Arabidopsis thaliana: one gene and its partner. The protein of the gene in region 2 interacts with the protein of the main gene of each other region in a pairwise test. Each region holds a gene or a part of one and is shown on either strand. Other genes may lie near its edges.

Region 1 (4,950 bases), on a different chromosome or scaffold from region 2:
CTGTGGACAATGGTCTTCCATCTGTACTAGATTTTCCAGGAACCTCATGAGATCTGACAACACTAGCCTTATTTTCATCCGTTGTAGATATCGAAGATACCTTAGTGAGCAGTGTTTGACTAGGGGCAGCAGAAGCTTCCGATGGAATAGAACTATATGTAGAGGCTCCCTGCACAAAAAAAGAAAATGCAAGCATTAGCTAGCGAAGAAGACTAGAGGTAATCATGAACAAATCGCAAGTAGCAAACAAAGAAGATTAACGAAAAGGTATAAAGAACTCACCATCGTAACGCCACTGGTTGGATTCGTAGCCCCAGAACCCTCAGAGACTTGAGCATCTTTGTTCTCAACTTCAATAGCCACATCCTCAAACCTGCTCCTCCTCTCACCATTCCCATCAGCAAACCTAGATTTCTTCTTCCCATCCCTAGCCCCATTCTCTTCCTCTCTATCTTTCCTCTTGCTCCTCGATTCCTTCTCTTTACTACCTTCGTGAGACCTCTCATGGTGATGCTTTTCCCTATCTCTACTCCCTTCTCTCTCGCCTCGCTCTACAGATCTCCCTCTTCTATCCTTGGTCCTATCTCTCTCATCTTCCCTATCGCCGCGCCTCGATGAACGGTAGTGATCTGAATCACGACGCTTCGAATCAACATCGCGGTCACGGCGGCGTCCTCCTTCACGTTGTGGAGAATGGTCGGGACTCGAATCTCGATCACGATCGTCACGGTGGCTCCTGGAATATCTCTCCTTATCCATGGCAGAATTTAGGGTTTATTCCTAACAACAATTTGCTTCTGATTCGCCGGTCCTATAAATATACGAAAATTCACAACCGGAATAAACCAGCGATTCAGATTAGAACCAAAACGACCAGCGAAACCAAGTTCTGAATCAGATTTTTGTTCCTTCCGGAAAAATCCTAAAGGGAGCGAAACGATACCGGATCCGGAAGATATATAATCCAATCACCGGACTACAAGCTTCCCTTATGGGCTGAAGCCCATTTTTGAGTTCCTTCTTGAGATAGTTCTTCAATTTTGAGTCTAATGGGCTTTTATATCATCTTTTACTTAAAAAAAAAAAAATCGACGATTCATCTTCTATAGAGATATATGAAAATTCAAGCTATTTATCTTTAAAAAGAAAAATATTTGATGTCAGGTCGCAGTTTTCTTACAAGCAGAAATCCAAACTCTTCATACCAACTATTTTTGGAATAAACAAGATTTCTTTGCCAAGAGTTTTCATACCAACTATTTTTTGGATAAATAAGATTTCTTTGCCAAGAGATTTCCACAAGTTGACCACAAATTAAACATTCGATCAAAACTCAAGAATTCAAATATAGAAGTATATAACGCATATATTCCGCTTTGACTCAAAAAAGAAAAAACCCGCTCATATACTGTATTATGTATAGTCTGAATCACAAACTCTCTAACACGTGAAATTTAATGCGTTAGTCAAGAATCGTTCCGATTGTTACCACTCCCCAGGAACTTTTTCAAGATATTTATACCTCAGAATGATAGCACTTTACAAATAAGTTATACTTTTTTTCAAAACAAAAAAAAACAACTTATTGAAGTCTATGGACAAAAAGAAAATATCTAACATGAATCCTAAAATATCTTTACGATTTTAATTTTATCACATCTTTTGTCAAGAACTCGTGTGTAGCAGTTTATTATGCACATAAATATATGCTATACATTACGCTGCAATGTTCGTAAATACTAGTTCCAGAAAAAGACGATTCCAGCCGTTATTACACTGATCAAAAAGTTATTGCTATATACGGAAAGAATTAATCCCATAAAAATCATGTGCTTTGAACTAACTTTCCCTTTATACGTTAAAATAGATATTTAGGTGAAAAAGCAGATTAGATATTTTCTCTTAGATTCTCTGTCACAGTCAACGTAAGCTTCGCCGTCTGAACAATGGCGACTCTCTCAGCACGCTTTTACACCGTCAGATCTCAACATATCTCAATCTGAACAATCCATCATACACAAGTTCCATACATCGCAACACAGAAAAACAAATCCCTAACCCCAAACTGTTTACAATAATTAGCTTCGTTGTCTTCTTCATTCCAAAAGATTTGCAGATAATTTTGACAAAGCCCCCCAAAAAAAAAAAGAGTTCAAAATGAAAAACGTGAGAAATGGATTTGTCATCATTCTTCTCACCGTCCTTAGTCTCTGAAAATAAATTCTGATTTTGATTTCGAATTTTAGGGATTTTGAGAGAGAGTCAGTTATGAGTAGTTCGGAGAGAGTACCGTGCGATTTCTGCGGCGAGCGTACGGCGGTTTTGTTTTGTAGAGCCGATACGGCGAAGCTGTGTTTGCCTTGTGATCAGCAAGTTCACACGGCGAATCTGTTGTCGAGGAAGCACGTGCGATCTCAGATCTGCGATAATTGCGGTAACGAGCCAGTCTCTGTTCGGTGTTTCACCGATAATCTGATTTTGTGTCAGGAGTGTGATTGGGATGTTCACGGAAGTTGTTCAGTTTCCGATGCTCATGTTCGATCCGCCGTGGAAGGTTTTTCCGGTTGTCCATCGGCGTTGGAGCTTGCTGCTTTATGGGGACTTGATTTGGAGCAAGGGAGGAAAGATGAAGAGAATCAAGTTCCGATGATGGCGATGATGATGGATAATTTCGGGATGCAGTTGGATTCTTGGGTTTTGGGATCTAATGAATTGATTGTTCCCAGCGATACGACGTTTAAGAAGCGTGGATCTTGTGGATCTAGTTGTGGGAGGTATAAGCAGGTATTGTGTAAGCAGCTTGAGGAGTTGCTTAAGAGTGGTGTTGTCGGTGGTGATGGCGATGATGGTGATCGTGACCGTGATTGTGACCGTGAGGGTGCTTGTGATGGAGATGGAGATGGAGAAGCAGGAGAGGGGCTTATGGTTCCGGAGATGTCAGAGAGATTGAAATGGTCAAGAGATGTTGAGGAGATCAATGGTGGCGGAGGAGGAGGAGTTAACCAGCAGTGGAATGCTACTACTACTAATCCTAGTGGTGGCCAGAGTTCTCAGGTTTTGCTTATCTCTCTTTTGATTTTTTTGGCTAAGAACAGTTTAGTTTTTTCTGTTAATGAGCAAGTGAGATTAAGTGGTGAAATGTTTTTGTGTAAGGTCAAATATAGTCACTCTGTGTGGTTTTATGGTTTCTCAAGAAGATAAAAAAATGAAAGGTTTCTTAACCTGTGTTGTGAACTTGTATACAGATATGGGATTTTAACTTGGGACAGTCACGGGGACCTGAGGATACGAGTCGAGTGGAAGCTGCATATGTAGGGAAAGGTGCTGCTTCTTCATTCACAATCAACAATTTTGTTGACCATATGAATGAAACTTGTTCCACTAATGTGAAAGGTGTCAAAGAGATTAAAAAGGTAATAGTTCTCATTAACCTTAGTCATTTAAGTAGAGTAGTGTTTAAAACACAATACGTTGTCATCTCCCGTTCATCCTCAAAAATTGTTGTAGACAGTTGCTTCTTTTAGTGAATGATAGAATTCAGAACATGAAACCTAGTCAGAAAAAAGTTACAAGCTGGTTTGCTTTTCTTTGTTTTACCTCATCACCAAGCCACCAATTCTAACATTTTGGCTTATGATATATATTTGCTAGACTGCTATGCAACTTAACTGTGATGCTGATTAGGATTCTTTTGCAGGATGACTACAAGCGATCAACTTCAGGCCAGGTACAACCAACAAAATCTGAGAGCAACAATCGTCCAATTACCTTTGGCTCTGAGAAAGGTTCGAACTCCTCCAGTGACTTGCATTTCACAGAGCATATTGCTGGAACTAGTTGTAAGACCACAAGACTAGTTGCAACTAAGGCTGATCTGGAGCGGCTGGCTCAGAACAGAGGAGATGCAATGCAGCGTTACAAGGAAAAGAGGAAGACACGGAGGTAAATGCTGCTTTTTTCTTTCCCCTTTAATAATTTTTTATTGCCCATCTCCCTTAAAGAATCTGATACCATATTTCGTTTCTCCCTTTGTCTTGGATCTCGGGTGCCAACAGATATGATAAGACCATAAGGTATGAATCGAGGAAGGCAAGAGCTGACACTAGGTTGCGTGTCAGAGGCAGATTTGTGAAAGCTAGTGAAGCTCCTTACCCTTAACCTTAAGTCTCTTCACATAGGCTTCCTTTTAGCTACAAACTTAGTTACTTTTTTTACTTCCACTGCCTCATAAATGTACAGACCGGTCTCGTTTCATCTGGCCGCCCTTCTGTTTTATTGCCTTATCTGGCCCTTTTATGTACCTTGGAATCTTATCTAGTTTAAAAAAGATTGTAACCTTCTAGAAAACCATATTCTGTTGACAGTATATACATGTCTATCCAAGCATTTTGAAGTCTCACAAGCTAATACGCCTTGATACTCTTTGTTTTAAAAACCCTGACTTATGGCTGTTAATCAAAGTTTTCCAAGTCCAGTTCGCAGATGGCGAGCGGATCTGCGGCTGTGGTTCTTCGTTGCTGTTTCTTTGGTGGTTCTGGCTGTGTTGGCCAATTCAGAAGGTATAAATCTCCCTACTTAAAGAGTTACTCACAGGCGAAATTCCACAATCAGTTTATTCTAGTGTATAATACATGTAGTGGATGTTGTATAATGTTTATGCTTGAATGTCATATAGCTCTGCAGACGTGGGATCCGATGCAGGTGACAATTCTTCTTAAAAGACAACTAATTCTCTGACTTTCCTCTTAGTGACTATAAGAATAGACCAATTCTCTATTAAATTTTTCGTTTAACAATTCCCTCAATCAAGAATTCTCTTCTCTGTATTTCTCCTCTCCATCTTTATCTTACCTCTCCGAAACGCCTTGAACCCTCAAAAATGTCCTTCATCCTACTCGGATTCATATCTTAATAAATGTGAACCACTTGGAATCCCCATTCGTTTTCCTT
Region 2 (3,725 bases):
TCTCGTTACGTAAGAGAGCTTGTATACGAAGCCCGTGACTTGATCCATTACTGAGTCTCAGCTTCGGGAATTGCGTTTTGGGTAGCGAATTACAAAACCAACACGAAGACTGGGAAGAAGTGGGCAGCGGAGATTTGAGGAGAGGCTTAGTCTGTAAATTGGGTGTGTGTGTTGAAGTGAAGAGAGCTTCCATGGTGGATGAGAATAAGATTTTGGTTGAAGAGTCTTCTGATCTTTCACTATAGGCAGATGCTTCAGGCGTCTTTGTTGAAAGTAGCTTTAGGAATTAGGACTTTTCCAGAGTAGGGTTTGTATAACACACACATACATATAAGGGTTTTTCTTTTTCTTTTGGCTTTTTTTTTATAGTTGGATTACGATTACTTTTGTCCTTAGGAATTACTTTTGATGTATTTTCTATTCTCTTTTGTTTTGTTTTGATGTTGATAATAACGAATTTTCCTTGAAATAAGAAAATCAGTTTCTTTTCAATTTACAATTTTTATTGATAATAACATAATATTCTAAGAAATTATCTTTGTTTAAAAAAATTGGGAAAGAAAAGATTTCAATTTCATCTCAAAAGAACCTGATAATGACTATTGGATTACCATTATTCCGTTTCTAAAATCTTCTTACTGTTGATTAAAAAAATTAAATCTCCTCTAAAGAAATATCTATCATCTCAATTGGTTCAGACCATTTTTAGTTTACGTTGAAAAGAAAGATCAAACAGATCAATGACACAAACTATAATTAAGGCACTAAACACTAAATGTCCTAATTTGCATAATGCGGGACCCATGTCAATAATATTTCTCAAACGTTGTCGTTTTCAGCCCATCCTTCCTCCGAATCCACGCGCCACCGTCTAAGCTGCTGCGTCATTGCACGCGCCAATTTGCTTTCAACCGCTCGAATCATCCCAGCTGAAACTCCAGTCACATCTTCTACTTTCTTTAAATTCTGCCACGTCGTCGTGTTCTTAACGCCGAACCAAAACGCCGCCGCTAAGAACACTCTCTTCGTCGCTCTTGGCCTCGTCTCCACAGCCAAAGCCAAAGACGCATATGAAACGACAGCGTTTGTTAAATCCCTGTTTAGTCCTAACTTACCACACCAATTTACAAAAATGCCATCCGCCACCGTAACCGCAACGGCCTTGGCATTCACTCTGTTTTCCCTCCCTCGCGCTCTGTTTACGTCACGCGTCGTTGACGATAGCTCGGAGCTTGAGACACAGTCAAGAGACGAGCAGCAAGAAGAAGACGACGATTCTGAACAACATGTTGTTCGTGGAGGCCAAGGAAGAAGAGGACCAGAAACGAAATTTTGAGTAAGAGATTTGCAATTTGGGCAGATGACACGCCGGAAATGACGAGCGAAGAGAAAATTTGAGGCATGGAACTTAGCGTCACAAGAACGGCAGAGGAAGGCAGAGTCCGCGGCACAATGGAGATCAGCTTCGGCACCACAAAGCTCGCAAAAGCTCACCATTGAGTCGATCTCTCTGATCACCAGAAAGAAGTGAGAGAGAATTGGTTTGGAATGATGATGGTGGGAAGAGAGATTTAAGGAAGAGATGTAAATGATTGAGGGAGAGAAAGAGCGGTGGAGTTTTTATGGTTCATGGTTGATGAGAGTAGTCTCTTCCACAGTTCACACATCAAAGAAACTTACATGAGCCATAATTTTTTAGGGAAATGAAATGAATGGTGTTTGTAGAATTGGAGAGAATGACGTGTCGTGAGGTTTTGAGGCTGGTGAGATTATGTGGTCATTTTTAAAACTATTACACTAGCCGCCAAGTCATTCGTCTTCCTTTTGGTGTGACGTGGAGATTTAGTCAACACTAATGTCTTTTCAGAGACTTGGTCTCATTGCAAATTGCTTCTTCTTCTTTTCTTGGTTGCTTCCATTACATTTCTTCTGCATTGTTGCAGTCTTTTATATAAACTTTTATACATTGATCTTTTGTCGAATACAAAACAGAAGATAATACTCTTAATTTATAATCTAAGGAGTAAGGATACAAAACACAAGGTGTAAACTGTGGTGAACCTGTTTGGGTTCTGATCCCAACTAGTACAACAATAGTCTATATCTTGAAATCTTTCCAAAAATGGTTTCTTAAATAAAAGGGTCTTTGAATAGCCAAGCTAAATCCAATTGCTCTGTTAAGATATATCCATAGAGCCCCTCCTACGAATCACACTGTGACCTCTCCAGGGAGTTTTACTTCTTTGTTATCCGACCATAATGCCTCTGGCGTATTCTAAATGCCGGTTTTCGTAGCAGTACTTTGTTGGATTGTTTGAGATTTACCTGATCGTTTCGAGACTTAATCTTAAGTGGATGAGCTTCGGTGTTGAATACCCACTCGTCTAAAGGAATGACTGTTGTCGGCGAGAAGAGTAGATAGAGATACTTGAGTGTCTCTGCAAGGAAGAAACTTTGCATCTTGTTGTCCTTAACGCCTGTATTAACCTGGAAATGATTGAAAGAAATAAGAATCTACCATCAGTTACACTCAATTACTAATATAGATGGTGGAATGATATAATTCAATTCACCAAGGTTTTAACAATGCAGGATCTAATTAAGCGCCTACGGAAAACTTACATCCTTCAAACCAACATATCCAGACTCTATGCGCGAGTTCTTCTCAAATGCTTCAAATATATTCCATCCCCACTCTTGATATGTCTTGTTTCCAGTTAACCGCCAGAGGTAAAACAGTGATTCGACAGTTTCTGGTCTCAAGATGTTCCACGACGTTCCAACACTCATGTCCTGAATCATCATGTATACTAAACAATAAATAACGCATAAAATAAACAATGTGTTTGAAAAAGACAGGCAAATGACATACACTCCCAGAGTTGAAGAAATAATTCTCCCCAGCCAGTTTTGTTGGAGTTGATTGGTAAAAGTTATAACATGTCCACGCAAGCTGCAAAATATGTGGAAAATAGCAATAAAGGCTATATCTCAGCAGCCTAAATCAGAAAAGCAGAGAGCGAAAAATTCGAAAGATCTGAAGCACTTACGACGCTATGATCAAAGATCATTCAAGTCATAAGTTTACCTCTTCAGCGAGTGTGAGAAACTTCTTTCCTTCAGCAGGATCACTATACCCAGATGCTCCTAAAGCCAACATTCCAGGAGCAAAGCATGCCAATTCATCCATCTTAATATATATGAGAAATAATGAGATTGGAAATGCCAGGCGATGAAGAATTTTCACGTAATACAATGGAAACAATGAACAGATGGGTTTACCTTATCGATCAAAGAATTTCCACTCTTCTCACAGATATATGTAAACGACAAAGGTGTTGATTTCTTAACCAAGCTTAGCAGACCATTCATTGACTTCTCCCACATATCTCTGATGCCAAGATGTCAAGTAATAACAGTACAAATTATTATTGTTCGGCTAAAGATGTTGAAACTAAAAGACCAGAAAAGAAAAGAAGAACATAGATATCAAGCAGAAAGATAAATGTGATGGCAGCTGGTTGAACTTAGCGGACTTGAATCAATCAGACATATATACACTCAGTAGACTAGAGTTAAACTTACCTATAGTGTTTCACTGCTGAAGTTTTGTTCCCAAACACCCAAACTTTGAGCAAATATTCGTAAAAGCTGTACACAAAATATTAGCCGTCACAAATCAAACCAAAGCAGAACCAGAAGGGATCAGACTAGCAGTAATATAA

What was found. The genes of interacting proteins can lie anywhere in the genome.
Region 1: the proteins of BBX32 (region 2) and BBX13 interact in binary tests that used the Arabidopsis thaliana proteins (3 or more experiments, as listed by UniProt).

Annotation. Positions count from the first base shown.
Region 1 is NC_003070.9:9,774,976-9,779,925, reverse strand, and holds BBX13 (B-box type zinc finger protein with CCT domain-containing protein), read left to right. Parts: upstream 1-1,882; 5' UTR 1,883-2,268; coding exon 2,269-3,054; intron 3,055-3,245; coding exon 3,246-3,413; intron 3,414-3,697; coding exon 3,698-3,942; intron 3,943-4,055; coding exon 4,056-4,158; 3' UTR 4,159-4,404; downstream 4,405-4,950. Other genes in the region: AT1G28060 (Pre-mRNA-splicing factor 3), read right to left, coding at 1-169, 283-759.
Region 2 is NC_003074.8:7,411,894-7,415,618, forward strand, and holds BBX32 (B-box 32), read right to left. Parts: upstream 1,835-3,725; 5' UTR 1,498-1,834; coding exon 820-1,497; 3' UTR 552-819; downstream 1-551. Other genes in the region: AT3G21140 (Pyridoxamine 5'-phosphate oxidase family protein), read right to left, coding at 1-193; MNS2 (alpha-mannosidase 2), read right to left, coding at 2,236-2,487, 2,623-2,793, 2,873-2,953, 3,089-3,190, 3,283-3,391, 3,586-3,651.